Lonchura striata: one gene and its partners. The protein of the gene in region 3 interacts with the protein of the main gene of each other region in a pairwise test. Links are inferred from orthologs where the notes say so. Each region holds a gene or a part of one and is shown on either strand. Other genes may lie near its edges. The genes, in order: PDGFRA, PIM1, EGFR and STAT2.

Region 1 (8,228 bases), on a different chromosome or scaffold from region 3:
AGCGCTAGGGAGCTCGAACATCGGCAAGGGACGCGCCGAAAATACCGTCGAGGGGCGCTGGGAGCGTGCCCCCGGCACTGATGGGGGCCAGGGCATCGCTCCCGCCTCTGGTCCGCAGCCGCCTTCCCGACGGGGTGCGGACGAGCCCCGGGGGCTGGCGGCCGTGCCCTGGGACTGCTGCTGCCTTGCTAGATTTGTCGCTGCTGCTGCAGAAAAAGCCGTCCAAGTCCTGTTCTCTGGAACGGTTCCTGAGCTATGGGATCCGCGTCCAAAAATGTTGAGCAATGCCGTGGACAGCCAAAAAGCCATTTCCTACTTGCTCCTAGGACTTTTCCAGGGGACTCCAGCTTGGCAGAGGCTGGCAAGTTTGCAGCTCTGCGCTTGACAAAATCCAGAAGGTGGCCGCGAAGACTTTGCCCTTCCCGGGGTAGGAGGCAGTGGGGTCCAGCAGTCCGGCAGGGCATACGGCAGGGCTGGCACTCCCGTTGAGAGAGAAGCTGCAGGCTGGAAAGGCTCCAGGTACCAGCCCTGTCTAAATTCAGCATCCTCCCTTTCACCGAGACACTTTTTAAAAAAAAGACGGGGCGCGCAGGGATGGAGATCGGGTCGCCTTTCGGGGGTTGTATGCGTGCCTCCGCTCGGGATCTCGGGCATTTTAGGCTACCGGGCCAGGGGGAGCGAGGTGAGAAAGGGGATCTAAAGGAGGGAAGGTGATGAAAAACAAAGGGTGGGGGAAGGGACGGGAGAGCAGCGGGGTGAAGGAAGCGAGGGATGCGAGAAGAGAGGGAACCGCTTACTTGGTCGGTGCGCGTCCCCGCTTTCCCCCCTGGGGCGGGCACCGCCGCTGCCCGCGGAGCCCCGGCGGGTCGCTCCCGCCCCCGTGGCAGGAATGCGGCGCGGTGGCTGCCGCCGTCCCAATGTGTTTGTCATTAGCGCTGCCCGCGCTGCTCGCCGCCGCACCCCGACGGCCGGCGCGGCGCAGCGCTGCACCCCACTCCCCTCCGCGGGGTCGCCAGCGCCCACCGCCTGCGCCCCGCGGAAAGAAGACCTCCGCTCGGCTCGGAGCATCGGGGGAAAATAAAAAAAAAAAAAAAAAATTAAAAAAAAAACACGAAGAAAACCCCCAATAAATAAATAAAGAAAAACGGGAAAAAATAAACGAGGAGAAAACCGCGGGAGAAAAGGTGTAAAAAACGAAAAAGGTGGGGAAAATGCCCCGCACCTCTTACCTTCTCCTTTACAATCCGCAGCCCCAATCCTGCAGATTGTAAAACATCCAAAATATGTCCACGTCTTTTGTGACTTTCCCTGCTCAGCCGCGCTCTTTCCCTCCCGCTCGCCCTCCCTCCCGATCCGACTGTAATGGTCTCACAAACCGCGTCCCGTAATTGATTCAATGTTATAGACCATCCTTCCAAAACTAATCATTTGCTTTAAGTAAATAGCTGTCAGGAAATGAAGCCCCCCTCAGGCCCCTTCAGAATAAGAGCGTGCTGGCTCGCCCGGCGCCCCCAGCCCCGCGGCCGGAGGCGGGCGCGCCGGAGGGAGGCTCTTACGCAGGCAGGGGGGCCGTCCCTGCCTCCAGATTTCAGCAGCCTTGCAGGGGAGGGGGAGGTTGGCCATATGGCAGGGGCGAGGGGGAGGAAAGGGGGAAGCGGGGAGTTTTGCACTGCAGGGGGAGAAAATGAAAAAAAAAAAAAAAAAAAAAAAAAAAAGAAGAAGAAAAAAAATTACCCAAAAAACTTTCATGAAAACTCAAGAGTGCTCCCAAATTTCATGAATGAGTCTTCCCTCCTCAGACCCTCCAGGACGGTGGCTCGGGCGCCGCGCTCGATGTCCACGCTTACCGTGTGAGTTTATGGATGGGGAGTTTGATTTGGAAACGAATTCGCGGCTTCCTCGTGTCCTTTGTACACCGCTGCGCTCGGGTTTGGGCTAGAAAGCTGCACGGACGGCCGTGAGCCAGCCAGGACCAGAAGGCGCAGAGAGACAGGGGGAGAGACGAATCGCTAACATTTATGAATGAAAGACACAACGAAAGGTAACCTTCGCCAAGAGCCAGCCTCCCCAAAGCCCGCAGCTCCGACGGGACCGAGAACACTCTTCTCTTCGTCTCTGCCTTCGCTTTGCCCAGCTCAAACAGACCCCAGTAATAACCAAACCAGGGACACGACAAGAGCCGGAGGTGCCGGCAGAGGCGCGGGCAGCGCACGTCCGAGCCCGTCCTGTTTGAACACGCTCCAGACGGAGCTTTGATCCCCGCCGGGGAACCAGCACTGGGTATCTCTGCTCTGCTGGCCGTCGCTATCACTGGCGATAAGGGGTGGCCGAGGGAGCTGCCGGGGAGCTGCCCTCGCCGCCCTTTTGCTGCAGGCTTCGTGCGGAGCGAGGCGAGCGGGGCCAGCGGGGCGCGGCGATGCGGCGGCCGCGGGAGAGGGGGCAGTGCAGCCCCAGGAACGGAACGGCGAGGATGGAGCCGGTCCCTGCTCGCCGCCTGCCTTCTGGGGAGGGCACCAGCCCCACAGCTGTGTGCCGCGGCTTCTCCCCTTTCCTTCCTTCCCCAGTCCAGCACAACCACCACCCACACCTCTTTCTCCCATTTAGTATTAAACAAAAATTTCGTCTCGAAGTCAAGAGCCAGGACCCCGTGGTTTTTTTCTTTCCTAAGCGAGGGAGAGTTCAGCCTCTGAAACGAAGATGCCCTAAAGAGAATAGAGGCAGAAACGAGAACCAACTCCCAAGGATGCGCGCTCAGGGCTGAGGTACCCCTGTCTGGGCTCTCAAGGTTCCCGGCGGCGCTCCCGGCCCTTTGCACGCCCTCCACTAGTGCATCCTCGGCTCGGGTGAGTGCACAACCCCGCTATTGCTTCCACATGTTCCTCCAGGAAATCATCGGAGTCAGATCTATGAGCAGACCCTGGTCGGAATGCTAACAGGATACCGTAAAGCTTGTGAATAAACAACAGGCTCGCAGTGAGTCAAAAAGGCATGGAGGAAAGGAAAAAAAAAAAAAAAAAAAAAAGGCCAAACCAAACAAACAAACAACACAGGAGAAAAAAAACCCACACCGTACCCTGGAATTCTCCATCTGAGAGTGCGAGAGCACCCAGCATCCTGAACCCCTTAATTTGTAGGGGGAAATGCTTTATCATTACTTGGATCAGAGCTGCGGGCTCTCGCAAATTTAAACCCCTCAAAGATGAGCATCAACTGCCTATGCGCCGGGGCGATCCTGCAGGGCTCGGGCCGCGATGTTACCGGCGTGAGTGTATCTGGTTCAACACGCGGGGTGATTCCTGGCGAAATACCATCAGGATGGGATGTAATGCGAGAATTACTCTTTCGAAAAGAAAGGAGCAAAATGGAAGGGGAGGAGGCGCCTTCTGGTTGCAATTACCTGCCTCATTTGAATAATGCCTTTGTCACGATCATTATCGAGAGGTCGTTAACGGCTTCCACGTGGGATCTCACAAGACCCAGCCAAAAATAAAAATTTTAAACTAGGCGACTGGCAAGGCTGCCTGCTAGGCCAGTCTGGCCCTTCGGGCGGGGGCCCGACGGCTCTGCGGAAACAGTGGCGGAGGTGTACCGTCGCTCAGGCACCCTTCCGGGGAAAGCTTTCCCCGACGTAGCTTTCCCTTCCCCACGCCCGCCACCCCAGGAGCACCGAGCCGGCGGGAGCTGGGCTCTGCCCGCTCCTCCCTCAGGGAGAGGGATCCGGCGGTGCCTATGGATTGGTCCCGCGCTGGGGAGGTGGTAGTTAAAATAAACCCTCCAGGACGGCTGCTGAGCTCTGCCTCCCGCCCCGTGTGGTGCAGGGGGGTCCCGTCCACGGAGGCGAGGGGGACATGGGGTTAGCGAGAGGACAGGCTGGGGGTGGGGGATTTTTTACATCTCCCCTGTCCTCCCGCCTTCCCCTCCCCTGAAGGGCTGGAGCATAAAGCATCCCGTTAACGTGTGTTTATGTGGTACCAGATGGAAGCTGCACGTCTCAGACGAAGTGCGGCGCCCGTGCTAGAGCCGCTCTCGCCTGTTTATGCTGCCAACCTGCCCCCCGGGGTGGGCGGGTGTGTGTGTCCCCCTCCCCGGGCCCGCGGCGCCGTCAGAGTCCGGGCAGCGGGAGCACCGACGGCTCGGGTTATTGCGGGGCGGGTCTCTCCACTCTCAGACGCTTCCAGGGGGGCTGGGAGCCTTCGAGGCCCCTTTCCCCTCTCCCTCGCTCAGCATCCCCCTCCCTGGAGAAATCACAATTTGTTTCAAGTAATAAAGCGTTTCCTGCGGCTCTCTCCCAAGGGTGAGCCGGCAGCGGTTAACTGGTTAAGCCTATTGAACAATCTAATAGGTGGCTGGTGTGGCCACCAGCGGGACCGGGCAGGCGAGCGAGGGTGCCCCGGCCCGGGCTCCGCTGGAACACCCGCTGAGGGGCCGCAGCCTTTTGACTGGATGGGAAGGCTTGTCTGGGTTTAATTATCGTTACCCACGTTCAGCGGTGCACGGAGCAGTAGTCATCCTTTTTTTCCCTTTTAGAGCAGGAAGCCCCTGCGTGAAGAGCAGCTACAACCTGAAGCAGAGACCCCTCAACCCCTGAGAGAGGGAGAAAGCAGAGCAGCCTCACATCTGTGTTCACATCTATCGCCTAGGAAAGAGAGTACAGCGGTGAAGGCTGCCTCGCCTAGGAAGGCGAGCTAAGCTCGGAAACTCCAGGGGCCCGAGCCCCTTCGGGAAAAGTGTTCTGGCGGTGGGAGGGTCTTGTGTACATTTACAGTCCTGCCAGATTTTTAGATTTTTATTTATTTCCATCTTTCCACGAGTACAGATTCCCTCATTTTGTTTGTTCAACAAAATTTGGCTCTGAATAGCAGGGATCCCGTGTCACTGGGAGGACAGGCAGCCAGACAAAAAGAAATTAACTTTGCCCAGCCTGCCCTCCCTAGCCTTTATTTTTATTTGCCACATGGCTGTTCGAGGTAGTTCTCCGTACTATCGTTTTCCTTCCCCATGCCCGCCGTTTCCCCACCGAGGCCGCTGCTGCCACGACGTCGAGCTGTTTTGCTTTCATTGTTGCGTTTGGCTCTCGACATTAAAAGACGCCAAAAGAGCCGTGGACGCCTTATTCTTTAAAAAACAGACTGTTTTCCCTTTTGCTCCCGCCCTGACTTTTTTGACTGCGACAGAATAAACAGCCCGCTGTGGTCCAGAAGCAGGCTGGACGCAGTTCGGGGGCGAGGCCAAGCAGGGGGGAAAGGGGCTGGTACCCGCCTGGCCCTTCGCCGCGCCTGGCTCCGCGCCCCGCCCCGACCCCCGGGCGGGGAGCGCGGCCCCGGCCGAGCCGCCGCCCCGACGGGAGGGGAGGCAGCGCGGCCGGGGTGCCTGCAGCGCCGGCCGAGGGCGCGGGGCAGTGCCAGCGCCCCCGCGACACTAGAGGGCACCGGAGCCCGCGGGAGCGGCGGCCGAGCCCGGCGCGGCACCGCGCCCCGCCAGCCGCCGCTGCCTCTGCGCTTCATCACCGACCGGGCGGCTCGGAGAACATGGCGAGAGGCGCCGTCCCGGGAGCCTGATGGCTCCAGCCCTGTAGGGCCGGCCCGGACCCGCCTCAGCCGCTCGGGGGATGTGGCAAGCAAAGCAGAGAGATAAATTCCTCCCGTGCCACAAATGATAAGTTTTCCCTCTGAAATCAAAGGGTCGTCTGCTGATTCAGCCCAGGTTTGACTTCGGTTCGTAACTCCCGAGACCATTATCTCTGCCTTTGTTCTTTCGAGCTGCAGCAATTAATGGATTACAGCAGGACAAAACCACAGCCAGAGCAAGCTGCTTTCGTTCTGCAGCTATTTACTATTAGTACCAGCTTTGCTCCCCTCGGGCTACTGTGCTTGGGAACCCAGCCCTGAGTTCTGCACGGGGGAGCCGCATGGTATGGAGGCCACCCTGGATGTCGCGGCCGTGGTCACTGCGACACAGTGGGCATGTGCCAGCGTCCGCGTCTGTGTCGGTCCCCGCGTATGCCTGGGCTGCTCCCGTCCACCATACATTCCTACTGTGGGCACTGAAGAGCCAAGACAGGCTGAGCATCATAAAGTGTCAGACTGAGGAGAGAAACACATCTGTTACTGAGTACCCGGAACCCCCTTGTTCCAGGCAAGGGATGTCATTTTTCTGCTTCATCCAACAACAGGTTTTCTTCTGATACTTAGTGATAAATACACACCTTTGGGGTGATTTGCTGTGGAAATACTGGAGCTACAGCCAAGATTAATGAATTGTAATTAGGTTTCTAAAAGGATCCCTCTCTTCACCCGATCTTTCATGCTCCAAAATACCCCTGCAAACAAAACCTTGTCCCTCTATTTCTGTGGCATGGAGTGTTTCTGAACATGGATCTTCCCCATCCCAAGGACTGAGATGATGGAAAGGCATTAATGCTTCCTAAGAGCTTGCTGAATTGGGGTTTGTGTGGAGCCACCACTAAGAGTTGCAAGAGACAGCATCCATGTTGTTGAGTCAGCAAAAGGTTCCAGACCTGGAAGTAAATGTAGGCATTCCTCTTAGTCACTGAATTTGTTCAGTCATTTTACTCAAATTTACCAAGATTATGCTGGAGGTATGTCAGCAGGAGACATGAATCACAAGTTCATTCTTCTTGCAGCACTGTTTGTCCCCTGTACTCAAGGTTCTGTGGCCCTAATCAGTGATGGAAGGAATCAAGCAGGCACCAATCACACCTCAAGCCATTCAAAGAAGTAGCCAATGCCCATGTTCTCATTTTTCTTTCTTTAGTTCAGACACAGGAGAGACTGAAATATTGAAATGTCAAGGGAAACAGTTCCTCTCTTTTTTTTGTCTTCTCCAAAAGACTATTTGGCCTTTTTCTCCAAGATCAACTTGTTTTAGTCTGTACCTCATGTAATTTGCAGAGAGCATTTTCTGCCTCAGTTACATAATAATTTGCCTGTTTGTTGTTGACAATCCTTTAGAGAACTCAGTTATATGCACTCCTCTTGAGCAAGGTGGTCTTGGAGAGAGAAGTGAGAGTGTGAAATGAGAGGAAAATGCAGGTAAAGGTTCCTGTGGCCATGCATGTGAAGCTACAGTTCAGACTTTGACAGGAAAGCTCTGATGTGGCTCAAGAGCAGAGGATACAGCAGCATTTAGTTACATTATCATCCTTATACTGATGGCTTTTTTTAGCCAGATATTTTGCTTTTTAATCTAATTATCTTTTGAGAATGAGTATAATGTAGAAACTGGGCCAGATCCTGCTTTGTGTAAACCTGGTGTAACTAACTTCAAGGGAAACATTCCAGATTGAATCTGGTATAATTAAGATTAAAAACTGGCTCTGGAAGTCTTTTCTTTGGCAATAAAGTTAGAGAAGTTCTGCAAAGAAAAATAATTAAAACCAGGACTTTATTTCAGTGTTCTTTTAAATAACGTATGCTATAGACGCTTTGAAGGCATTTGTTCTCTATGACAGCAGTATTTTAAAACTTTCACTTAGGTTCCACTGACCAAGTTAACCCTTGACAAGCAACTCTGCTTAAAATGTTACGTACAGAAACTTTTAATTTTGCAGGACCCTGCCCAAACTAAAAACAAATTATATTAAAAAGATACGAGTGCTGCTGTGGCAGTTGCAGACTTCTGCTTGCTGTTGAAGTAATGAATTTCACTGTTCTAGCCACAACACAAGCACTGAAATAATTCTGAATTTACACCTTATTCAACATGGGGTTTTTTTATGGTGCACACCTTGTTACCTGTCTGCTAAGCTCAACACATTGAGAAGGAGCAATTGTCAGGTTCCTTAGTATCCCTGGAAAGCAACCTCTGCAAGGAGTTCCTAGAGGATTGCTGAAATACTATAAATTGCTACACAATTTTCTGTAAGAAAACCAGATTACATTTAACACTTTCTACGTCCACTGTCACTGCATTTGTTAGGCCCATGCCCGTCAGAGAAAATATGTCACCATAATTTGATTGCAGGTGATGAGAAGATGCTGATCAATTTTTGCTAGGTCTGGCTTTAAGCCCCAGTGAAATCACAAGGACATTTGTCATTCTCTTGGCTGGCCCCAGGTTTTCATCATGGATTAATCAGATGTCTCTTTAGGGCGTAGAGGAAAAGAAGGTGTGAAGGGGAAAGAGTAATTTCTCTTTGATTCCTTGTGGGATACAAAAAATATGTATTTGGAAAATGTATTTTACTCCTTTTAAGTGGGGTTAGCATG
Region 2 (7,613 bases), on a different chromosome or scaffold from region 3:
AGTTATTCTAGCGGCTAGAACACTTCCTTTAAAAAACAAACAAACAACAAATTTATGAAAATAAATTAACAAAAACTGGAAATGAGAAAAAAGGCAAAATGTTATCACTATTCACAACTGTACATCAAGCTTTGCTCCTGTAGAACTATGTACACATTTACAGCTGTTGGTTTGCATTGTTTGTGCATTCGTGAGGGCACAGAGAAGCAAAGAACCCCAGAAAACCCGTGTGGGATGGAGGCACAGGAGGCGAGGCATAACCCACTTGGTTCCCAAGCATCTTCTCACCTATTTCCTTTTTTAAAAGAGTAAAGGAACTATAGGCCCAGGCGAGTCTCAGAAAAGCAGCACTGTAGGAAAAGTCAAGTCTTTCCTCCAGTACAGCTCAGATCAAACAGAAGGCACACAAGCATGGGGACAGGGAGAAGGGACAGTAAGAAGGGACAGCCACTTTGCCACAGGCCCTGCCCTCCCCACAGTTTTCCCCCATTGAAGCTTTTCTTGCAGTCAGGTCATCCAATTCAGCAGGTCAAGATGACACTTGAGAGCCTCCAAAACCAGTCAAAAAAAAATTATTGGTAAAATCTCAGAAGAGACAAAGTCATTCAGATGGAGTCCAGGACAGCTGGCTTGGATGGTGGCTACTGGAACTTGGAAGAGCAGGTCCTCAGCCCAGCTCCAGGGCAAGATGTGCACGTTCCCATCTGAGAACATCTGAGGATCCTTGCTCATCGCTATGGTCAAGATGAAAAAGTCTGGTTTTCTTTGCTTCTTATGACCAGGAGCTGCATGCAGCTGTTACTTGTCAGGCTCCTGGATCAAACTGTGCAGGTGGATCTCAGCTGGTTCCAGGTGAATGTCCTGCAGCCAAGAATGGTTGAAAATGTCTTCCAACGACGGCCTGTCCGAGGGGCGCATGGACAAGCACCACTTGATGAGGTGCTGGCACTCTGGCAGAGACAGCAGCAGCAGGGTCAGTCAGAGCAGGCTCCCGTCCACCCTGTGCCACCGCCCAGTGCCCGAGCTGTGCCCAGCCCTCCCCATCCACCCTGTGCTTGGCAGCAGAGCAGGCTGGCAGCACATGTGCCACCTCCTGCAGCCACCCAGGGCACATGAGGGCCCTTCCCTGCTGCCTCCCCCAGCCCATCACCCCCGAGCCGGGTACCCACCGAGAGAGATGCGCCGTCGGAAGAAGAGCTGGCCCCGGATGATGTCCTCGTCCTGCTCGAAGGGGACGTCCCCACACACCATGTTGTAGAGCAGGACGCCCAGCGACCAGATGGTGGCTGAGTGGCCGTGGTAGCGGTGGAAGCGGATCCACTCCGGGGGGCTGTACACCCGCGTTCCTGCGGGACACGGGAGCTCATCAAGCCCTCGCCCGAGCATCCCTGGGCGTCGCTGGCACCCGGCGTGACCCGCCCGCCTTCCCGCCAGCACGTGACTCTTGTTTACAAACTTTGGGTTGTAAAAGGGAAACGCCGGTGCCAGAAGAGGGCAGCAGGGCCCGGGGAAGGCCCGGCCGTTACACGCGAGGAAAAAACCCACCTACGGGTGGGGAAAAACCACGCCTTTCCCCCCCTCCGCGCAATGGCAAAAAAAAAATTAAAATTATAAACCAAGGCAAACAAGGGGAGAGGAGAAGCCCCAGCCCTTCCGCACCTGTAAAGCAACCCGGCTGGTGCTCGCGTTTTGCAAACCCCCCCTCTGCTCCCCCACAACCAAAGTGTTTTTGTCATGCTGGCTTCCCCCGCCCCAGCCCGAGTCAGGCTGGGTGACGGAGGCTGTCAGCAGGGCCGGGAGCCGGCTCCCGTTTCACAACATCCTCCCCGTGCCAAACAGCAACTTGGCAGCAGCTGCAGAATTCATGCCGCCCCCCCCGCCACGGGGAAACCTCCGGAGCCCGGCCCGGCCGCGCAACGCCCGGCACCGGGAGCGCACCCGGCTTTGGGCTCACCGTCAAACTGCGTGTAGAGCGTGTCCTTGAGGAAGGTGCCGGAGCCGAAGTCGATGAGCTTGAGCTCGCCCGTGGCCAGGTCGAGCAAGATGTTCTCGTCCTTGATGTCGCGGTGCAGGACGCCGCAGTTGTTGCAGTGCCGCACGGCCTCCAGCACCTGGCGGAACAGCCCCCGCGCCATCTCCTCCGGCAGGAACCCCCGCTCCGTGATGAAGTCAAAGAGGTCCTGCGACGACTCCGGACGCTCCATCACCACCACGAAGCTGTCCGGGAGCTCGAACCAGTCCAGGAGCTGGATGACGCCGTGGAAGCCAGAGCCCACCTTGTTCAGAAGCACGATCTCCAGAGGCACACGGCTGCCGCTGGGCTGCGGGGAAACCACGCTGCCATCAGCGGGGCTCAGCGAGCCTCGCCCGCGGCAAGCCCTGGTGTCCCCATCCCCGCACCCACCGGTCGCGGGCATCCCCCCGCCCAGGGGATGCTCCGGTGTCTCCCTGCCCGCTCCCATCGGTCCTGGGCATCCCGGTGTCCTCCCGCCCGCCCCCATCGGCGCTAGGCATTCCCCGGCCCGGGCTGCGCCGCGTCCCCCGGTGACCCCACAGCCGCTCCCCCCGCGCCGTCCCGGTTTCCACCCTCCCGCGTCTCCGCTCATCCCCGCCCGTCACGCCTCGGGTTCTCCCGCTGGCCGCGCTCACTCACCAGCTCGCCCCACTGCGAGATGCGGTCCCGGGCCACGCGTTTGATCGCCACCTGCGAGCCAAGGGGAACGGCGGCATGAGCTCGGCGCCCGCCCCGCCGAGCCCCCTCCTGCTCCGCCCGCCGCCGGCCCCGCCACTTACCGGGGCGCCGTCCGAGAGGCGGATCCCCGAGTAAACGCTGCCGAAGCCGCCGCTCCCCAGCAACGGGCCCACCCGGTACAGCTGCTCCAGCGGCTCCTTCTCCTTCCCTGTGGACGAGACCCGCCCGTCAGCGCTCCGCCCGCTGCCCCGGCCGGCCCGGAGCCGGGACGGGCACCCCCGGGACGGGCGTCCCTGACCTGGCTGTAGCTTGGCGGGGTGCAGCTCCCCGGCGGTCCCGGAGCGGAGATGCGCCAGCGAGGTGATTTTGGAGAGCAGCATCCCGGTGGCGGGGCCGGCGGCGGCACCTGCGGCTCCGCGCCGGGCAGGGCAGGGCTGTGAGGGCGGCGCGCGCGGGGCGGGAGCGGGCGGGGAGCGCGCGCGAGCGGCCGCTCCGCGCGAGGCCCGGCCGCGTGTGGCGCGCGGCCCCTGCCGGCCCCGCGAGCCGCAGGGGCCGGGGGCGGGGCCGCACGCCCCGACAGGCGGGGCTGCGGCGCGGGGCCACGCCCCCTCCGGCGCCCGGCGGCCAATGGGGGGCGGGCGCGGCGGCGGCGCGCGCGGGCCGCGCGGTCACGGGGCCCCGCCCCCGCCCCGCCCCGCCGCGCCGCTGGCGCTTCCCGCGAACCGCGGCCGGCGCGCCCCGCGCCGCCCCGCCGCTGCACCCCCTGCGCCCGAACTTCTCCCCTTTCCAGTAACAGTGGCCATGTGGCCCTTCCAGCTGCGGACTCCTCACTAACATCCTTATTTTTTACGTTCCCGCCCCCCCCCCCCCCCCACCGTGTCTTTTTTCCGCAGAAGTCGCTGGCTGAGATGCCTCCCCGAGTTCCAGAGATAAGATAAATAATTTACTGGATGGAGATCTCTGATTACTCACTCTATTAGCATTTAGAGCAAAGAGCTCCAGCCACTGGGAGCTGAATTATTCCAGACAAAGCCCATCTGGGCTCCTGCTCCTAAGCAAGACCGAAGAGTTCCTGGCATCCCACACATACTTGTGGGATGAATTGCATGAAATCGAATGGGGTTTACTGGAAATACTTGTGAGATCCTGTCCCGTTTAGTGTTAAAAAAAAAGGATTAAATAGAACCAAGATGCACCCCCAAAATGGGGTTTGGAGCTGCGGCCCAACCCTCGCAGTGGCCGGGAAGGACTCGCCACCACCACTGCCGCTTTTAGATTTACCCAGAACGTGACACATCCTCTTTCAGGACCTGAGCCAAACAAAAACTGGAAAATCTACCTTCCGTTTTACCCAGAAAGTGACATTTTTGTTTAGGGAAAAGTGTGGAGAATCTGATGCAGCGCTTCCATTCCTCTTTGTTTAAAATATATAATTATTTAAAAATTTTTTCAATATATCGTTGTTGCAATGCGAGGTGATGCAAGCTGAGAGTGGGGCAGAGGGGCAGGCAGCGCCTTTCTCCTGCCTTATTCCCACCCGACGCCAGGGCATATTTGGGACAACTGGTTCTGCCAGTCGCTGCTCAGCCGTGGGATGAGGTGACTTAGCATTTGGCCCCGAACTCATTATCAAATTCTTTGCCAGGATGATGAAAGGCACCGAAGGAGCTGCCCTGGAAACCTGTTGACAAACAGCGTTCGCCCGGAGCGGCCGGGCTTTCCCGGGGGCTGCCTGTCCCTGACTCCTCGGGAGAAGCAGCTCTGCCCAAACCTGCTCATTAGCGTCGGAGGGAGCAGCGTGGCCTGCAACCGGGATGAGCTGGGGCCCAAATCATCCTCGTGCGTAAACCTGCCCAGCTGCTCCTTTGCCCCTGAGTCAGCGGCCGTCTCTTCCTGCTGGCACGCAGGGGTTGGGTCCCCTTGGACCGGGGAAACCCCTCCTGGCAGCCGAGGGGAGCTCCCTGCTCCGTGGCCTGGCCGCGTGGAGCTGCGAGGCAGCCACGCTTCCCGGCCAGATCCATCTCTTTCCAGATTAACCCACCCAGGTGCATTCCTGTTCCCGAAATGACCCCAAAGCAGGGCCAGGAGTCACCCTCAGCCCTTTCCACATGCTCACCTTCCCCCTGCCAGCCCGGGCGAGGCCATGGGGATGTGTCACACATTCAAACTGAAATGAAACAAACCCCATCCTGTTGCTCTCACCCACTTGGCCCTCATCCCTGGGGATCCCTTCTTTGCCCAGCCCTCTTCCCCTGGCACGAAAGCCGCCGAGGATGGTGGGTGCAGGGGAGCAGCCCACATCCACAGCACGCCCTGCCCTTGCAGGGACACGGGGATGTCCTGCGGGTCCTGCCCCTGTCCATCCCTGGAGCAGCCCCAGTTCTTGCCCTGAGCCCTCGGGGAGCAGTTTGCAGCCCAGAGGAGACTGCGAGGCTTGCAAGGAGGAAAAACCCAAACAGGGCCATGCCTGGGGAGAGACAGGACCCTGGGGTGGCATATGGAGCTGATGGCAGGTCTGGGGGAGAGGAGCTCCCAGCAGACATCAAAAGATCGGTTCTGAGCCCTGCAAACAATCCCGGCAGCTTTCAGGCTCTTCAGCGGCATTCCAGTCTAACCGGGGCTGCCTTGCATGATAATCAGGCTTAATTACTGCTTTATCGCTTGATTGCTGTGCTGGGCCCTTGGAGCTGCAGTGTTGCTTTCGCAGTTTACTTTTTGTATTTCTTCCCCCTCGCCTTCCCCGCCAGCACAATTAGCAAATGGGTGAAAACGGGGAGGGCCAGGGCGGTACCCAGCAAGGAGAGAGAGGCTCCCCAGGAAGGCCTGGGGTGAGGGGTTAGCATTCAGGTTTGCACTGATGTCCTGGAACAAAACAGCAAGGTCAATGCCCCGCCGGGAGCGCGGGGAGAAGCCCCGCGAGCATCCCCCGGCGGATGCGGGGCCGGGAGGATGCGGGACTGGGAGGATGCGGGACTGGGAGGATGCAGGAGCAGGAGGATGCGGGATCGGGAGGATACGGAGCCGGGAGGATGCCGAGCTGGGAGGATGCGGGGCCGGGAAGATGCAGGGGCAAGGAGGATGCGGGAGCGGGAGGATGCGGGATTGGGAGGATGCAGGGTCGAGAGGATGCGGGGCCGGGAAGATGCGGGATTAGGAGGATGCGGGATTAGGAGGATGCGGGGCCAGGAGCGCCGTGGCACACGAGGACCGTGGCTCTCCACCAGCAGCTTTGAGACACTGCGTGACCTTGGCTGAGTCTGCCCGTGGCTCCCGCGCCTCCCCCGGCTCCCGCGGCTCGGGCTCGGTCACCGGCTGGCCCAGGGCGTGGGGCAAAGCCCGGCACCGACCTGCGGGTCCCCGGGGGAAGCCCGAACCCTTCCTCATCTCTTCCCGATGCACCCGGCCCTGATAGAACCCGGAAAAAGGGGATTTGAGGCATCTCAGCAATGCCCACTCCCCCACGAGGAGGGCACCGAGCCCTTTGCCCACCCAGGGCTTCTCCCAGCCTGGCAGTGGGAGCCCTGAGGGTAGTTGGGGAGTGAGGATGTTCCCACCTACCCGCAGTGAGCAATCCCCGGTGGCAGAAGCCGGGCAGCGGGCACTGCCCTCACCCAGCAGTGTGTGCCACGCGGGGTGCTCAAAGTCACCCCACAGCCGCAGCAAGGTGCTCTGGGGTCTCACACGTGGAATCCAATAAAACGTGTGCGTGTTCCTCGTGTGGCAGTGCGGGTCGGGGACATCCCTCAGGATGAGACTGATCCCGGGGTGCAGTGTCCCCCCGAGGGAGAGAGGAGGGCTGGGCTCCCGTGGGTTTGGATCATGAGTGCTGGGAGCCACTGAGGCACAGGGTGCTGCTTTCCCTCCCCTCCTCATCCTCAGGGTCCCCCCAGACCCAGCTGGGACCACAAGGCAGCGGTGACAGCTTGGGAGCCACACCCCACATCCTGGGGCACAGGGAGGAGAAACATCCTGGCTGGACTTTTTGCTGCAGCTCCCCAAAAACCCCCTCAGCCAGCACCCAGTCCCAGGATTTTGGGTGTCAGCTCCCACTGGACAGTGATGGGACCTGAGAGTGGGACAGGAGATGCTGAGACCCATCCTGTTCCCTGGGCAGGAGCAGCCGTGGCAATTTCTTCTTAATAATTGTAAATTTTTGGGTTTTTTGTTTTGTTTTTGTTGTTGTTGTTGTTTTGTGGTTTTTTTGTTGTTTGTTTTTTTGTTTGTTTGTTTGTTTATTTGTTTTTTGTTTGGTTGGTTTGTTTTTTCTTTTCCTTTTTTTTGTGGTTTTGGGTTTTTTTGGAGTTTTTTTTTTGTATGTTGGCTTTTTCGCGGGCTTTTTGGGGCGAGGTGTGCGGGGAGGCGGCAGCATGGCTAATCTGCTTTGTGAATAGAGCCTCACGGGGGGCGGCGGAGGGGATCGGGGAGGTGGAAGGAGCCGCATATTTGGGATTCCATCATCTGGGTGGGCTCCTTCTCCCCAGACTCTCAGGATGTGGGAAATGGAAGATGAAAGGAGCTGCATTTCCAGCCTCTCGGGTTACAATGTCTAAAGCAGAAAAGGGTGGTTGGGGAAAGAAAGAGGAAAAAAAAAAAAAGAGTTGGAGGGGGGAGTGGGATGCTACAGGGAAACCTGGGTTGGGAAATGGCCCGGGTAGGTTGGGGCAGGGAAGGGGGCGGCTGGGGCCGAGCCGCTCGTGTTTCACATCACGTCAGGGCTGAGGAATTTCCTCTGCTCTGGGGGTGCCTCGCAGAGAAAAAGGGGGAGGCTTTAAGGTTAGCTGGGGATGAATAATAGCCAAGAGAGGGATTAGAAGTGTTACCCAGGGGCTGCTGTTTACAAGCAAACCCTCCTGCCGAGAGCAGCAGGGGAAAGTGGGATGCACCGGGGTGATGGTGGGGTGGTGGATGTGCCACCCACATC
Region 3 (7,276 bases):
CAATCCACAAAGACTCTAGATGTCTACTTGTAGGCATCTGTCACAAGTAAGCATGGAATAATACACAGTGCAGAAACTACAAGACAATACTCAATATAAGTACACACACAGCCCACACGTAAACACTGCACAGGATATTAGACAAAAGTGTTTTACTTCACATGGACATGAATACTTGGATACCCTTAAAGAACTTAGTCCTTTGTATAAGACTCCAGGTACAGAAAGCTACCACAGTCCACCCTGGCAGCTCCCGAGCCGCCTGGCACGCCTGTATGCACACTCCCGACACGGAGCTGCACACTCCCATCCCACAATGTCTGCAGCTACAGATCAAAACTAGAGATATAAAACCAGTATATAGCAACAAAAAGCAATTTGCTGGACCGTAGCACTGTCACCGAGCGCTGTCACACAAAGGACACGGGTCAAATGCAGCCAGCATAAGTGGCATGCCAGCTATCACAGGTATTTATCTCAGGTACCACAATGCAGGCCTCCCGGGATATATCAGTGGAAATCCAGATTAATTCTGCTTCACATAATATGGGTCAACATCAGAGCAGGTATATAGAGGTGGGTATTGATCCCTGTGCTGAGAGTACTTCACTTTTGAGCAATGCTGTTTGGTTCTGGAATATGTTCAACTAGGCTTCTGTTTGTATCTTAATGACTACAGTGTTACAACAAAAACAGGTTTCTCTCATCCATCTTCAAGAACATTAATTCTACAATTTTGGGAGAAGACACAATTGTATTTAAATTTCCATTCAAACATTATGTTGATTGGATTTTATAGGCTGATTCTGATGTTCTTCTAACAGCTGCCCAGGCATCTTTTTTTTTTTCAAGACATGTCATTTTGGTAATAGAACAAATCAGGTCAAAGTTTTAAGAAGTGTCTTTTCACATGAGATTTGAACTTGCAGAAGTGTTCCATATATTTATGACAGCAAGTTTCCTTTCAGCATTTTTCTGAAATCTGATGCTAGGTCTTATCATTTGACCAAGGAGGCAGTCCCAAGCATACACTGATCCTCTACTACCTGCTGGACCTGTTGCTTCAAATCAGTAACACTCAATTCTCAGATGCTGCTTCATTTTGTGCCTCTGAATAATTTTCTTGCTTATCTTCAACTGTGGGGAGAAACTAATAACTCAAATCAATTGATTAATGCTTTCTGAAGAAATCTTCTGCTTCCACCTCTGCCACTGAGCATCCAGCTCAGTTCCTCTGGTAGAGGACCCAGTTACTTGCGGACACAACATCCTGAGAATAACCTCTATTGGATTTATCATGTAGCCGTTGATGATTTAGTAATCCTCAAAAAACTGGCAACCTCCTAAGTTTATGAGACACAGAATTAAACATTATAAACAAGGTATTTCTCCTCACTCTTAATATATTATACAGGGCATGTGCACCTGAGAATGCATCTCAAAAGACAGGCAGAGCAGATGGGAGGCACTTTACTTCTCACCAGCTTCAAAGAGTGAGGAAAAATAAATAAATAAAAAGAAAACCAGGAAAGAAAACTGCCCATGTTACATCTACAACAGGTATGAACTTGATTTCTGGAACAAGAGAATCTTTCCACTTTTTAAAAGTTGTGCAACTAGTTCTTTTGGATGGGGTGTTCCTCACTTTCAGGGTGGCTTTACCATTCACAGTCACAAAAGACTCTTAAGTTGCTCTAAGCCATGCAGTGGCTTCTAGAAACTAATAGTTCTCCCGCTTTTTCTTTAAAAAGAATGAAAGGAAAAAGAAGAAAAACCAAACCACCCAAATCTGCATTTTTTCCTCTGGCTGGCAGATTTCCAAGATAAAGAGGACTGCTCTCCGGCTGGAACAGCAGCCGGGGCCTGCTCTCCAAACTTAGAAAAGAGAACACCACACACAGAGAAAATGCGACGGGTCTGACCAGCCAGAAACGGCTTCTCATCCTCTGAGACAGCTTCTCCACTGAAGAAGGAAAACCCAAGCACCCGCGGCAGCCCCACGCCCCTGCCCCACAGCCAGCCCCGCCGAGCTGTTCCCACGCACCGCCGGCACGGGCGGGCAGCGCCGGGGCTGGCAGCGCCGGCAGCCTCGGGACGGGACGGGACGGAGGGATTAATCCCTCCTCTTTCTGATAACCAGAACCCACACAAAGTTTCCCTTTTTTTCAGTCACCTCCTCCCCAGGTGTATACTTTTTTCTATTATCACTATGACTATTTCTGAACAGGACAAGCGGAGGTGTCCGGGTCAGTGCGACAGCGGGTTACCGGAGCGGCGCTTACTCGGGAACCCCGCGGCTTTTCCTCGCCGCCCCGGTGCAAGGGAGCCGAGAGCGGCTGTGCTGGGCTGAGCCGGGAAGTGCTCTCCGGGGAGTGACTGGGAAACGTGGGAAGGGGGAAAGAAGAAAAAAGAAACACTAAAGAAGCACAACCGATGAGATGTGCCAAGGCTTATTCCCTTTTATTTCCTCCACCCCCACAAAAGAAAATAAACCAAGAATCAGGAAGTCAGGGCTGCGTGATCGCTGCTATAGGTTTAGTCTTCTCCCCGTTTCTCCCCTCTCTCTGTTTTTGGGGTGGGTTTTTTGTTTTGATTTGTTTTTTTTCTTAGGGAAATAAGTAGTTGGGACTTTCCCTCCGCCTCTCCCCACGGGAGGCCGCGGAACGCAGCCGCCCGCAGCGCCGGCTCTCTGGTCCCCCAGTACGCAGCTAGCAAAGGGCGGCGGGACCCCGCTGCCCTCTTCCCCCCGGCCCCCTACCTTTCTTTCCCTCCACGGCAAGGCAGAGAGCGAGGCGCCCCAGCAGCAGCACCAGGACAGCGGCGCCGCGGGGCCCGGCGGCAGCGAGGGGGCTGCGGCCGCCCATGCTGCGGGACCGCCGCTCCCTCGGCGCAGTGGCTGCGGGTCGGACGGGACGGGCGCACGGATGGTTCCGCGGAGCCGCTCCTGCTCCCCTCTGCTCTTCTCCCGCGGCAGCGATCAGCTCCTCTCCGGCGCTCTGCCCTGCGCGGCTCCGAGCAGCATGCTGGAGGGCGGCCGTCGAGGTCTGCGCGCACACGTGCGTGCCCCGCTGCGGACGGGCTGCTGCCTTCCTCCTCCTTCTCCTCCTCCTCCTCCTCCTCCCACCTCTGCTCCTCCTGCTACAGGCGGCGGCCGGTGCACAAGGGCTTGCGGAGCGGCTGGAGCCGGCTGTGGGACGGGGTGCGCCCGGCTGCGCTCTCCACTCGGTCGCGGAGCGCAGGGGCTCCCTCTGGGGACGCCAAGGAGGAGGAGGATTGGGAGGGAGCAAGGAGGAGAGGGGAGGAGAGACCGGCAGCGCCGGCCCCGTCGAGGTGGAGAAGAGGCGGGCCCCCCACCTGTCCCGGAATATAGGATGAGAGTAGGTGGAAGCGGGGACGAGACAGTTTAGCCGTTCCTCCTTGCTCGGCAGGGTGTGTATGTGCGGATTTTCTACTTCCCGGCAGTTTCTGCCCGGCAGCTGCCAGAGGCACGAGCGTGCATTTGCGGCACAGCTCGCAAAAAAGCGGAGTGGCGCTAACGCAGCTTCTGCCTTCCCGTGTGCTCCCGCCCGGCAGTCGTGGAGGGGCAGAGGGTTACAGCAGTGCGGGTGTCCCGGGGGAGGTCGCAGCAGGAGCTCTGTCCCGTCCCGTTCCTCAGGGAGAACGGTCCCCCCGCAGCTCCAGTGGGAGCAGTGCGGGCAAGGGAGAGCTGAGGCGCTTTACCGGGAGCAGGGAAGCAGCTCCGGAGGTTCGATCCACTCCCCAGGGGCGCATCTCCGGGGCTCCGGCCCCATTTCTGCCCCCCGAGATCAGCGGAGCCCACTTGGCCTCTGCGAACAGTCCTGCTCTCGTTCAGGTCATTTTACTCCCAATACTTGTAAGGCCAAGTGTGTGCGTGGAATAAAACAGCTCAGTTTTAATGCGAATTTAGCACAGGGGTAACAGGGTCCCTGTCTGCCCGTACCGCTTCTGTTCCCCGGCCACCAGCACTGAGAAAGTGCTCCTTGCTCCGCGTAGCAAGTTACTTAATAAACACAAAATAACACAAGTGTTCCTGAGGTGCTCCAAGTACATCCACAGACATTAAGCAAAAGAGTATGGTGCTCCTTTCCGTCAAGAGGAAAACCCAAGCTATTCAGGATTCATTAAAATATTCCTATGGTTTTTTAACAGGCTGTTTCTCTGGAAAGTGGGAGGAAACACTGTCTTGTCACTCAGGTATGTAAATAAGACACAGACGTGCCATTTGTCTGGGTTGGAGTTTCTCCGAGTAGATCATGATTCAACACTCAAACCTGCTGAATACCGGTGGTAATTTCTTCTGAGGGCTCTTCTGAGGGCTTAGGTTACACAGTCAATAGGATATGAAGACTTAAAACTGCTGTGATTAAGTGGGAACTCCGGCACTAAAACCAATAATGACATGAGGTTCGGGAAATTCCGTGCTAAATGTCTGTGTCTGTCACAGGGTACTGGAGCACAATAGATTGCAAAATAGTCACTGAGTGTACCTTGACTTTTCTCTGTTATGCATGTTTCTTTGAGAGATCCATCACCCTTCTCCTACCACTCAAATTCTTCTGAAAAATCTTTTTTTTTTTTTTTCTGATACTTTAACTAGCCGCTCTCCTAACTAGGCATAGAAAACTACCATCCCATTTACACATCCTAGCACATGCCTGGCCACATGCCTTTAATCGTTTACTAAGATGAGTTGCATTACAAGACTGCTTTCACATTCTGTAACTGACATTCTGGTTCAATTATATTTTGTAAATAATGTGGAAGGTGTACTTTGAAGTAAACTCACACATTAACAACATCCGAGAAGCTCTATTCATGTGATTGGTTTCATGGCTGTAACTGAGGGCAGAACCTTAGCTTACAATGCAATATTAGTACAAATTTATTTCAAAGATTCTCACACAGTGCAACTTCATATACACTATGTGTATGTGGTTCTTTTTCATTTATTTAGACAAATAGGAGGATCTTTAAAAGTGAGAGAAACCTAGGAAAAAGAGATCAACTTCTAGGGAGGGAAGATTTGCAGAGCATCCTCAGCACACACTAATGATTACAGCTTGCCTTATGATAAAGGAAATGCAATTAAGACAAGCAAGAAATTGACTTCAAATCAGTTCTGCAGGTAAGTTAAAAAGTGCCCCTAGACATGCACACTGGGTATCAAGCTACCAATATAGAAGGTAATAGGGTTTTTTTAATTTAGAGAAAGAGAGGATTCAAAGTGACAAATGAAAACCAAACTAAACATAGGGAAAAAAGAAAACATTTTTGCATGTGAATTCAGTGGATAAACTGGTCCAAATCCTGTCCTAACATGTTGAGGAACAAACACTTGTTTTGCAGAATTTTTGTTATTCTACTTGATATACTGGGCAGGAACATTTCATACTTGCTTCACCCTCCATCATGTACTGCCCTTACACAAACACACATAAATTCAAGTATTCGATACTAACTAAACACCTCCTTCATTGCTGACATGGTGAGCAAGGAGAGACTAGGCAAATGCCCCTTTAAATCTTTTTCCCAGGCTTCAGATACCCACTACAGGAGACTCTCATCTGCTGCTGGCAGTGCAGTACTGCAGAAGGGGCTGCACAGCAAGCTGCTGTAAATTCTGTCCTCCCACCTTTGTGAGCACAAATGTGTTACTTTTGAGGCATTGTACTCTGCTTGACAAGGTCACAAGACACATAAAGGAACTCTAAGACTAAAGTTTGAGAAGCTTATCACAGGCAGGAATTTCAGGCCTTTTTTACCAACTGAGCAATTTCTGAAATGGTTTAAATTCAAACATGACATTTTCCCTAAACAGCTGGTCACATACCCAGTGACTGCCTTTGGTGTAATTCCTCTGAAGCAAACATGAATTTTACCAAGGGCATTCAATATTCATGTTGCAAAATTTTATTGCTGGCTGCATGTGTGCATGGATCAAAGGTTATGGAACAAAGGCCAACCTTTTGATCACCAATTTTTCAATTGACAGTTCATAATGAAAATACTAAATGCAACATCTGTCTTCAGCTTTCTTTTGATTTGCTTGCTTTATAGTATGTGTGTGTATATATATGTATCATGTCTTCTATATATTAAGCATAAACATGCTGACCTGTGAAGTGAAGATGGTGTAATCTGGTAATTTTTCCACATGAACATGCTTCTGGATTGCAAAATTTGACTCACCGCCACTTGCCTGCTCCACTGAGCTGGTTACTTTGCCACACATGGAGAGAAGTAGCTGCAAGAGGATGAATAACTGATTTCCCTATCAGTGGAAAAAGCAGGATTAATTCTTCTATCCCTTCCACATTTCCTCCAAACAAAATAGAGTTTCAAAACCCTCTCAAGAGTTAAAAAATCCCTGCTGCTGGATCCTTTCCTTACATGAAAAAAAAAAAAAGGTTGCTTTTCATTATCCACCAAGAGTGGGTCAGCATTTGCCCCGCAAAAAAATTAATCAGCAACCATTTCTCAATGGTGATGCTGTTCTTCTCTGTAAATAAGTGGTGAAAGTGGTTTTAAAGTCAGGCCTTTTACTGAGAGACAAGAAATGGAGACAAATTAGCGGAGTTTTACAATCTGGTTTGCTCAGATTTTGCATGTTGTTTGAGATTGTTGACATTGTATTTTGCATTGTAGTTTGTATTCTATGAGTGCTCACTCAGGTTTTAAAGCAAGGGCTGAGATAAAAATTCATAGACCTTTATGGCACTTTGCATGTTGAAAATATTGCACACACATTAAGTAATTTATCTTTGCAAATCTCCTGTAAAGCAGGTTAGTACCTATCATTTCCATTTTATAGATGTAAAATAATTTGCCTTGGGCGGAGCTTTAGTGGTAGAGCTAGGGTTATCACTCAAGAGCTCTATTTAAACCTTGGATCATGCTATTTCTGAAGAGTGTCCCCGATGAAAATAGATGGATTTTTACACAGATTATCTTTCTCTCCTCGCTTAACACTATTTACAGAATCACAGAATATGCTGAGTTGGATGGAATGCATCAGGATCATTGATTCTAACTCCTGGCCTTGCACAGGACACCCCAAGAGTCACACCATGTGCCTGAGAGTGTTATCCAAAAACTACTTGAACTGTGTCAGGCTTGGGGCTGTGACCACTTCCCTGGGGAGCCTGTTCAGTGCCCAACCACCCTCTGGGGGTAAAACCCCAAACCTTCCCTGACACAACTCCAAGCCAGTCCCTCAGGTCCTGACATTGGTCACCACTGGTCACCACAAAGAAGA
Region 4 (7,124 bases), on a different chromosome or scaffold from region 3:
AAATCTCACCCTGTCCCTGAGAGCCTTCTCCAAATGCACCTTGAGGTGGGAAGGGGCCCCCAGCAATCCCTGAGTCCCAGGACACCCCCAAAACCCCTAAATCCCAACACCTGAGAGCATTGTCCAACCTCTCCCTGACCTCTCGAATCATCCAGAGCTGGAAGGGACCCATCAGGATCAAAGTCCAGCCCAGCACAGGACACCACAAACTTTCCCCCAAAATCCCTGAGAGCACTGCCCCGACCCCCCCGACCTCCTGAATTACACCCAGAGCTGCGAGGGACCCACCAGAACCCTTGACCCCAGCTCCAGGCCCTACACAGACACCCCAAAAATCCCACCCTGTGCCTGGGAGCGTTGTCCAAACTCTCCCGGAGCTCTGACAACCTCGGGACCGTCACCACTCCCTGGAGAGCTTCCCCAGCGCTCAACCACCCTGGTGGGGAGGATTTTTCCCTGATCTCCACCCCCAGAACCCTCCTGGCAGCGCCGCAGCCGCTCAGAGCCCAGCTCACCTCCTGAGCAGGTGCGTGAGCTGCTCCTGCAGCCGCTGCTGCAGCAGGGGCGTCTCTGTCACCAGCGGGTCCCTGGCGTAGGTCACCTTCTGCCGCAGGTCGCCCAGCGCCCGCAGCAGCTGCCGCAGCTGGAACAGCCCCTGGCCCAGCTCCGTGAACCTGCGGGGGTCAGGGAGCTCGGAGGGGTCCGGCTGCAGCCCCCCACCCCGAGCCCCCCGAGCCCCCCAACCCTACCAGGTCTCCAGCGGGCGCAGGTTGGTGTCGCCGGGGCCCCCCATGCACTGGCGCTGCTGCCGCGCCCGCCAGTCCCCCAGCTCCTGCTGCAGCAGCTCCTGCAGCGTCTCGCTGCGCCTCAGGAGCTGCTGCATCTGAGCCAGCACCTCCTGGGGGGAGACGTGGCTCTCAGCGGGGTGCACGGTGCCCCCCCAAAACCCAGCCTGGCCGCCCCGAGCCCCCCTCACCTTGCGCTGCTGGTCCAGGTTCTTCAGTTTGTCCTCGAGGGATTTCAGCTCCTGCATGTACTCGGGGTCCCCGTTCCTCTCCCCATCTGCGGGCAGGGGAGAGGGCTCAGGGTTTTGGGGGGCTCGGAGGGGGCGCAGGGCAGTGCCCACCCCCCAATCTCCCCAGCGTGGGGCTCACCTGGCTGGTAGTGCACCTTGAAGCAGAAGTCAAAGGCATCCTGCAAATCCTCCAGGTGCCTGAAGGCTCGTTCGGCTTCCTGCGGACACAGGGGGGTCAGGAGGGGCCGGGCAGCCCCCGGGGGGCTCGGCGGGGGTCGCGGGGGGTGGCGGGGGGTTACCTGCAGGGCCCTGTGGAAGTCGCCCAAGCGCTGCTGGATCTGCTGCTCCCGGCCGTTCTCCGGGGCTGGGGTGGGCGCGGGGGCCGAACCCCCCTAGGCAGGGAGACACGGGGTGTGGGGCAGCGGCCGCGGGACCCCCGGCGCCTGTGGGGTGAGGCGGGGGACCCTGCCCTGCCCTACCTGCCCCCCCGCCTGCCCCAGGCGCAGGATCCGCCGCTCCTCCTGCAGCAGGTTGGCCACCAGGTTGGCGAACGTCTCCGGCTTCTCCTCGAACTCGGCCTGCGGAGGGGCTTGGGGGGGTCAGCGCGGCGCGGAGACCCCTCCCCACCGCGCCCCCCCCGGCCCTGGAGCCCACCTGGAGGTCGCGGTGGGCTTTGCGCAGGTTGTGCTTCAGCATGAAATCCTCGCGGTCCGAGCCCAGGCTGCCCAGGCGCTCTCCCAGTAGCACCAGTAAGGAGTGGAACAGCATGCGGGCGTGCGAGCAGAGCGGCTCGGCCGCCTGGCGCCTGCGGCAGCGCGGGCTCAGCACGGGCTCAGCACGGGCTCAGCACGGGCACGGCCCCGCCCGTGCCCCCCGGAGCCGCCCCCAGCCCCGGATCCCCCCCCCCGGTACCAGTTCTGGCTCTCGATCCAGGCGGCCAAGGACTGCCGCACGGCCATGGGCAGCGCCGAGCCCGCGTACAGCTGGTGCACCTGCTCCAGGTAGGTGTTGGCCAAGCTCTGCACCTCCTGCCACTGCGCCATGCTGCGGGGACAGCGGCTCAGCGGCGCCCCGGGCCGTGCCCCGGCCGCGCCGGGACCGGAGGAACACCCGCGGGCGCCAGGTGGGCACCGCTGCACCCCACGTACCTGCCTGCAGCACAGGACCGGGGTCCCTCTGCTCCTGCTCGGTCCTGGGGTCCCTCTGCTCAGTCCTGGGTGGTCCTGGGGGTCCCTCTGCTCAGTCCTGGGTGGTCCCGGGGGTCCCTCTGCTCCTGCTCGGTCCCTGGGGTCCCTCTGCTCAGTCCTGGGTGGTCCCGGGGGTCCCTCTGTCGGGTTCTGGGTGGTCCCGAGGGTCCCTGTGCTCGGGTTCTGGGTGGTCCGAGGATCCCTCTGCTCCTGCTCGGTCCTGGCTGCTCCCAGGGGTCCCTCAGCTCCTGCTCGGTCCCTGGGGTCCCTCTGCTCAGTCCTGGGTGGTCCCGGGGGTCCCTCAGCTCCTGCTCGGTCCTGGCTGATCCCTAGGGTCACTCTGCTCGGGTCCTGGGTGGTTCCGAGGGTCCCTGTGCTCGGTTCTGGGTGGTTCCGAGGGTCCCTCTGCTCAGGTTCTGGGTGGTTCCGAGGGTCCCTGTGCTCGGTTCTGGGTGGTTCCGAGGGTCCCTCTGCTCGGGTTCTGGGTGGTCCCGAGGGTCCCCCTGCCCCGCCGCAGCCCCGGCAGCTCCCGCTGGGGTGGCCGCGGACCGGCAGCCGCGTCCTGCGGTGGGAGCAGGGGCTGAGCCGAGGGGGGCTCCCCACCCGGGGCGGGGGGCACAGAACGCCCACAGCAGGGCCCCCAGCCCCCCTTCTGCACCACCCCAGGCCCCTCCTCAGAGACCCCCTAGACCGGACCCCCATGGGACCCCTCGGGCGCCCCCCGGGTCCCCCCCAGTGGGATGGGTGTCCCTGACCGCCCCCCGCCCCAGCGCGACAGCCTTCCAGGGGACGCTCTGTGTGCCCCAGCCGGGGTCCCCGGCCTGTGCCCCCCTTCCCCGGGCTCTCCCGGGCTCCAGAACCGCCCGTGTCCCGCCCCGGAGTGCCCCGGGACCCCCGACCCACCTCCGCCGGCACCGGAGCAGGAAGGCGGGCTGGCCACGCCCCCTGCCAGCTCTGCTCGCTGATTGGCGGAGAGCGGCGCCGAGGCCCCGCCCCCGCGCGCGGCGCCTCTGGGCCCGTTTGTTCATTTCCCCAAATTTACGTCACGCGGGGCGGGGCGTAGTGGGCGGGGCTAGTGGATGGGTGTGACCAATGGGCGGGCTCAGTGGGCGGGGCCAGCGGGGAGCGGGGGCGGGAACGGCGGCGGCGCGGGATGGGCGGGGGGACCGGGACAGGGACGGGGGGACCGGGATGGGCGGGGGGACCGGGACAGGGACGGGGGGGACCGGGACAGGGACGGGGGGACCGGGATGGGCGGGGGGACCGGGACAGGGACGGGGGGACCGGGATGGGCGGGGGGACCGGGACAGGGACGGGGGGGACCGGGACAGGGACTGGGGGGACCGGGACAGGGACACCGGGGACCGGGACAGGGACTGGGGGGGACCGGGACAGGGACGGGGGGGACCGGGACAGGGACGGGGGCGACCGGGACAGGGACACCGGGGACCGGGACAGGGACTGGGGGGGACCGGGACAGGGACGGGGGGGACCGGGGGACCGGGACAGGGACGGAGGGGACTGGGATGGGCGGGGGGACCGGGACAGGGACGGGGGGGACCAGGACAGGGACGGGGGGACCGGGACAGGACACAGGGGACCGGGACAGGGAGAGGGACGGAGGGGACCGGGATGGGCGGGGGGACCGGGACAGGGACGGGGGGGACAGGGACAGGGACTGAGGGGACCGGGACAGGGACGGAGGGGACCGGAACAGGACACAGGGGACCGGGACAGGGAGGGAGGGGACCGGGATGGGCGGGGGGACCGGGACAGGGACACAGGGGACCGGGACAGGGACACAGGGGACCGGGGGACAGGCTGCAAGGACAGGGACGGAGCTATAGGAACAGGTTATAGGAACAGGGATAGAGCCCTGGGGAAGGGAGAGGCCAAGATGACAGGGACAGAGCCCTGGGGACAGAGCCCTGGGGACAGAGCCCTGGGGACAGGGGGAGGCCAAGATAACAGGGACCGAGCCCTGTGGACAGGGAGAGGCTGGAGGGAGAGAGGGAACGAGCCCTGGGGACAGGGACCAGGCAGTGTGGCCACGGGGACTGAGTGGCTGTGGGGCTTTAGGGACAGGCACGGAGCCACCGAGGGACACAGGGACAGGCCCAGCCCAGCTGCCACCACGTGCCCGAGGTCCGGCTGCCCCAGGCCAGGGTGACCCCGCATCGATCCGTCCCCAGCCGCCCCAAACAGCGACCCGGCGCCGGCTGCCACACGTGGCCTTTATTCAGACGATGACCACGGCGCCGCTGTGGGCAGTGGGCACCGGCGCGGGCTCCCCGGCCGAGGTGAAGTACCCGACGAGCGCCCGCACGCCGGCCTTGAGCCCCGGCTGCAGCCCCAGCTGCACCCCCAAGGCCACGGGACCCCCCAGACCCCCGGTGAGCGCGGCCAGCCCGGCGTAGCCCAGCTCCTCGGCGGCCTGCAGCGCCCGCGTGGACGCCACGGCCTCGCAGCCCTGGAAGGCGAAGTAGACGCTGGTGCCCAGGTTGTAGAAGACGCTGACTCCCGGCACCCAGTCCAGCACCCGGTGGGCTTCGCGCTCCCCCGCCGGGCTGCAGGCGTCCTCGTCCTCCCGCCGCCGCCGCGCGGCACCGCGGCACGGCCGGACCCCCGCCAGCTCCCGGCCGGCCTGGCCCAAGCGTGGCGTGGGCTCCGTGCCGGGCGCGGGGCTGCGGGCTTGGGTGGGATCCACGCAGGCGGAGCCCCCCGGCCGTGCCAGGCTGAGCAGCAGCAGCGCCAGCGGCCGCGGCGCCCGGGCGCCCGGTACCCGCGCCAGCCCCCGCAGCAGCGCCGCGGCCGCGGGGGTCCCCAGCTCCCGAGCCAGCTCCAGCGCCTCGGCCTCGGCCTGGGGGGCACAGCCGGCCCCGCGCAGCGCCAGCGCCAGGGCGGCACGGGCCAGGCCGCGGGGCAGCGGCGGCAGCCGCGAGAAGCCGGGCAGGGCGTCGGGGAGAAGGGTCTGGCACGGCACCCCCGGTGCCCGCGGCGCGACGGGCTCCGCCGGCGCCGGCAGCGCCCGCTGACCGGCAGCCGGCCCAGGGGTGATGATGGACACGGCCGTGGCACGGCTGAGGATGAGGAGCGGGAGGAAGAGCAGAACGCGGGCCATGGTGGCGGCTCTGGGTCTGTGGAGGTGGGAGAAGGACAAAGCCCCGTCAGAGCCCCGCGGGCGCAGCCCCCCGTGGCTCCCCCGTGCCCCGGCTCACCCGCTCGCCGCTGTCCCTGCCCCGTCCGGCCGCTGCGGCCGCGCCGGCCCCGTGACCGCTTTATAGCCGCTGTTATCCGGGAGTTGCGACACGTCCGGCGCGGGGACAGGGACCCGGCGCTCCCTGAGCCCAGCGCGGCTCGAGCCCCCAGCCCCCCTGCAGACCCGCACACACCCAAGGAGGACAAAAGTCACTTTTATTTATTTAGGCCCTGTCCAGATTTAAAAAGTTTTAGGAAGGAGAAAAACCCCAACAGCTGAGGAAAAAGAGGAAACTTGGGGTAAAACAGGGAGATGGTGACACCAGGGGAAGTGGGGGAAGGTGGAGAAACTGGTTGCTTGTGCAGCCTTTAAAAACAGCATCAAAACCTGCAGAAGAAAATCTGCAGAAACCCCAGAAAACCTGTAGAAACCCTAGAAAAACTGCAGAAATCCAACAAAATCTGCAAAAAGCCCAGAAAACAGCACAAGGCCTGGGCACCGGCAGGGTATGGGAAGCCACTCAATCCTCTTCCTCCTCCTCTTCCAAGCAGCGGATGCGCTTCCGCCTCCCCCGGGGCTGTGGATCCTCTTCCTCCTCCTCATCCTCCTCGGAGCGGGGAGCTGGTGGGGCCAGCTCGGTGCCTGTGGATGGATGGAGAGGGGAGAGGGCTGAGCCCCCCAGGGGTGTGGTAAAGGGGACAAGGACAGCAGAACCCCGACCCAGCAGACACCTAGAGGACCCTCAGCCCTCAGAAGCAAGCAGAGGGGCTGAACCCACCTGAGCTCCCACCACCATCCTCATCCTCGTCCTCGCTGGCGAGCTCCCGGCGCCTCTTGGTGCGCGGCTGCACTGGGCTGGGGACGGGGACGGGCTCCTCGCTGCAGAGGGTGGCACCGCTCAGCCCCACATGCGGGGGGCCAAATCCCCTCCCCAGGCAGGGAGAAGACCCCCCCAAACCAGGACCCCACAAACGGAGAAGGGAAGTCGGCTCTCACCTCTCCGAGTCTGATCCCAGCCCCGCCGGTAGCGGCTCTGCTGAGGGGCACAAGGAGGGGGGCTCAGAGCCAGCCCCACACCTGGGGGTCCCACACCCCCCCCAGCCCCACCCCTCACCTGGAGCCGGGTCCTGGGGGCAGCTGGGCGGCTCTGACGGGTCCGGGGGGGACCCCGAGGGGCCCCGGTGGGCGATGGAGGCGGCTGCACGCCGGAGCTGCTGCGGGGTGAGGGCGGCCGGGATGCGCCAGAAGGATTCCTGGGCAGAGAGGGGGGACATGGCAGGGCTGTGCTGGGAGCCAGGGGATGGGGACAGGGATGGGGACAGGGATGGGGACAGGGATGGGTGGAGACAGGGATGGATGGGGATGGGGACAGGGATGGGGACAGGAATGGATGGGGATGGGGACAGGGATGGATGGGGATGGGGATGGGGACAGGGAAGGAGACAGGAATGAATGGGGATGGGGACAGGGATGAATGGGGACAGGGATGAATGGGGACGGGGATGGGGACAAGGATGGATGGGGACATGGATGGATGGGGACGAGGATGGGGACAGGGATGGACGGGGACAGGGATGGATGGGGACAGGGATGGATGGGGACAGGGACGGATAGGGACAGGGACGGGTGGGCACCTCACCTGCTCGCTGGCGGGGGGCCGCAGCCCCAGCTGCCGCAGCAGGGCCCGGAAGCGCCGGTCCTCCATGGCATCCTCGTTCTCCTC

Evidence for each region.
Region 1: the proteins of EGFR (region 3) and PDGFRA interact in binary tests that used the Homo sapiens proteins (3 or more experiments, as listed by UniProt). The link is inferred for Lonchura striata from reciprocal best matches to the Homo sapiens genes EGFR and PDGFRA.
Region 2: the proteins of EGFR (region 3) and PIM1 interact in a protein complementation assay, tested with the Homo sapiens proteins (3 studies listed by BioGRID and IntAct, with this or other methods). The link is inferred for Lonchura striata from reciprocal best matches to the Homo sapiens genes EGFR and PIM1.
Region 4: the proteins of EGFR (region 3) and STAT2 interact in a protein complementation assay, tested with the Homo sapiens proteins (3 studies listed by BioGRID and IntAct, with this or other methods). The link is inferred for Lonchura striata from reciprocal best matches to the Homo sapiens genes EGFR and STAT2.

What each region holds. Positions count from the first base shown.
Region 1 is NC_134606.1:26,992,113-27,000,340, reverse strand, and holds the start of PDGFRA (platelet-derived growth factor receptor alpha), read right to left. Parts: upstream 3,104-8,228; 5' UTR 3,089-3,103; coding exon 3,074-3,088; intron 1,452-3,073; exon of another isoform or gene 1,230-1,451; intron 1-1,229. UniProt on the Homo sapiens protein: Tyrosine-protein kinase that acts as a cell-surface receptor for PDGFA, PDGFB and PDGFC and plays an essential role in the regulation of embryonic development, cell proliferation, survival and chemotaxis.
Region 2 is NC_134632.1:1,741,191-1,748,803, reverse strand, and holds the start of PIM1 (serine/threonine-protein kinase pim-1), read right to left. Parts: upstream 3,073-7,613; coding exon 2,794-3,072; intron 2,705-2,793; coding exon 2,654-2,704; intron 2,322-2,653; coding exon 1,955-2,321; intron 1,347-1,954; coding exon 1,170-1,346; intron 951-1,169; coding exon 799-950; 3' UTR 1-798. UniProt on the Homo sapiens protein: Proto-oncogene with serine/threonine kinase activity involved in cell survival and cell proliferation and thus providing a selective advantage in tumorigenesis.
Region 3 is NC_134603.1:105,542,103-105,549,378, forward strand, and holds the start of EGFR (epidermal growth factor receptor), read right to left. Parts: upstream 3,235-7,276; 5' UTR 2,865-3,234; coding exon 2,759-2,864; intron 1-2,758. UniProt on the Homo sapiens protein: Receptor tyrosine kinase binding ligands of the EGF family and activating several signaling cascades to convert extracellular cues into appropriate cellular responses.
Region 4 is NC_134629.1:5,609,318-5,616,441, forward strand, and holds the start of STAT2 (signal transducer and activator of transcription 2), read right to left. Parts: upstream 3,141-7,124; 5' UTR 3,106-3,140; intron 2,765-3,105; 5' UTR 2,164-2,764; intron 2,060-2,163; 5' UTR 2,059-2,059; coding exon 1,928-2,058; intron 1,821-1,927; coding exon 1,670-1,820; intron 1,594-1,669; coding exon 1,495-1,593; intron 1,408-1,494; coding exon 1,315-1,407; intron 1,234-1,314; coding exon 1,155-1,233; intron 1,063-1,154; coding exon 977-1,062; intron 899-976; coding exon 750-898; intron 675-749; coding exon 516-674; intron 1-515. Other genes in the region: APOF (apolipoprotein F), read right to left, coding at 4,442-5,323; protein timeless homolog, read right to left, coding at 5,922-6,043, 6,180-6,280, 6,398-6,437, 6,516-6,654, 7,041-7,124. UniProt on the Homo sapiens protein: Signal transducer and activator of transcription that mediates signaling by type I interferons (IFN-alpha and IFN-beta).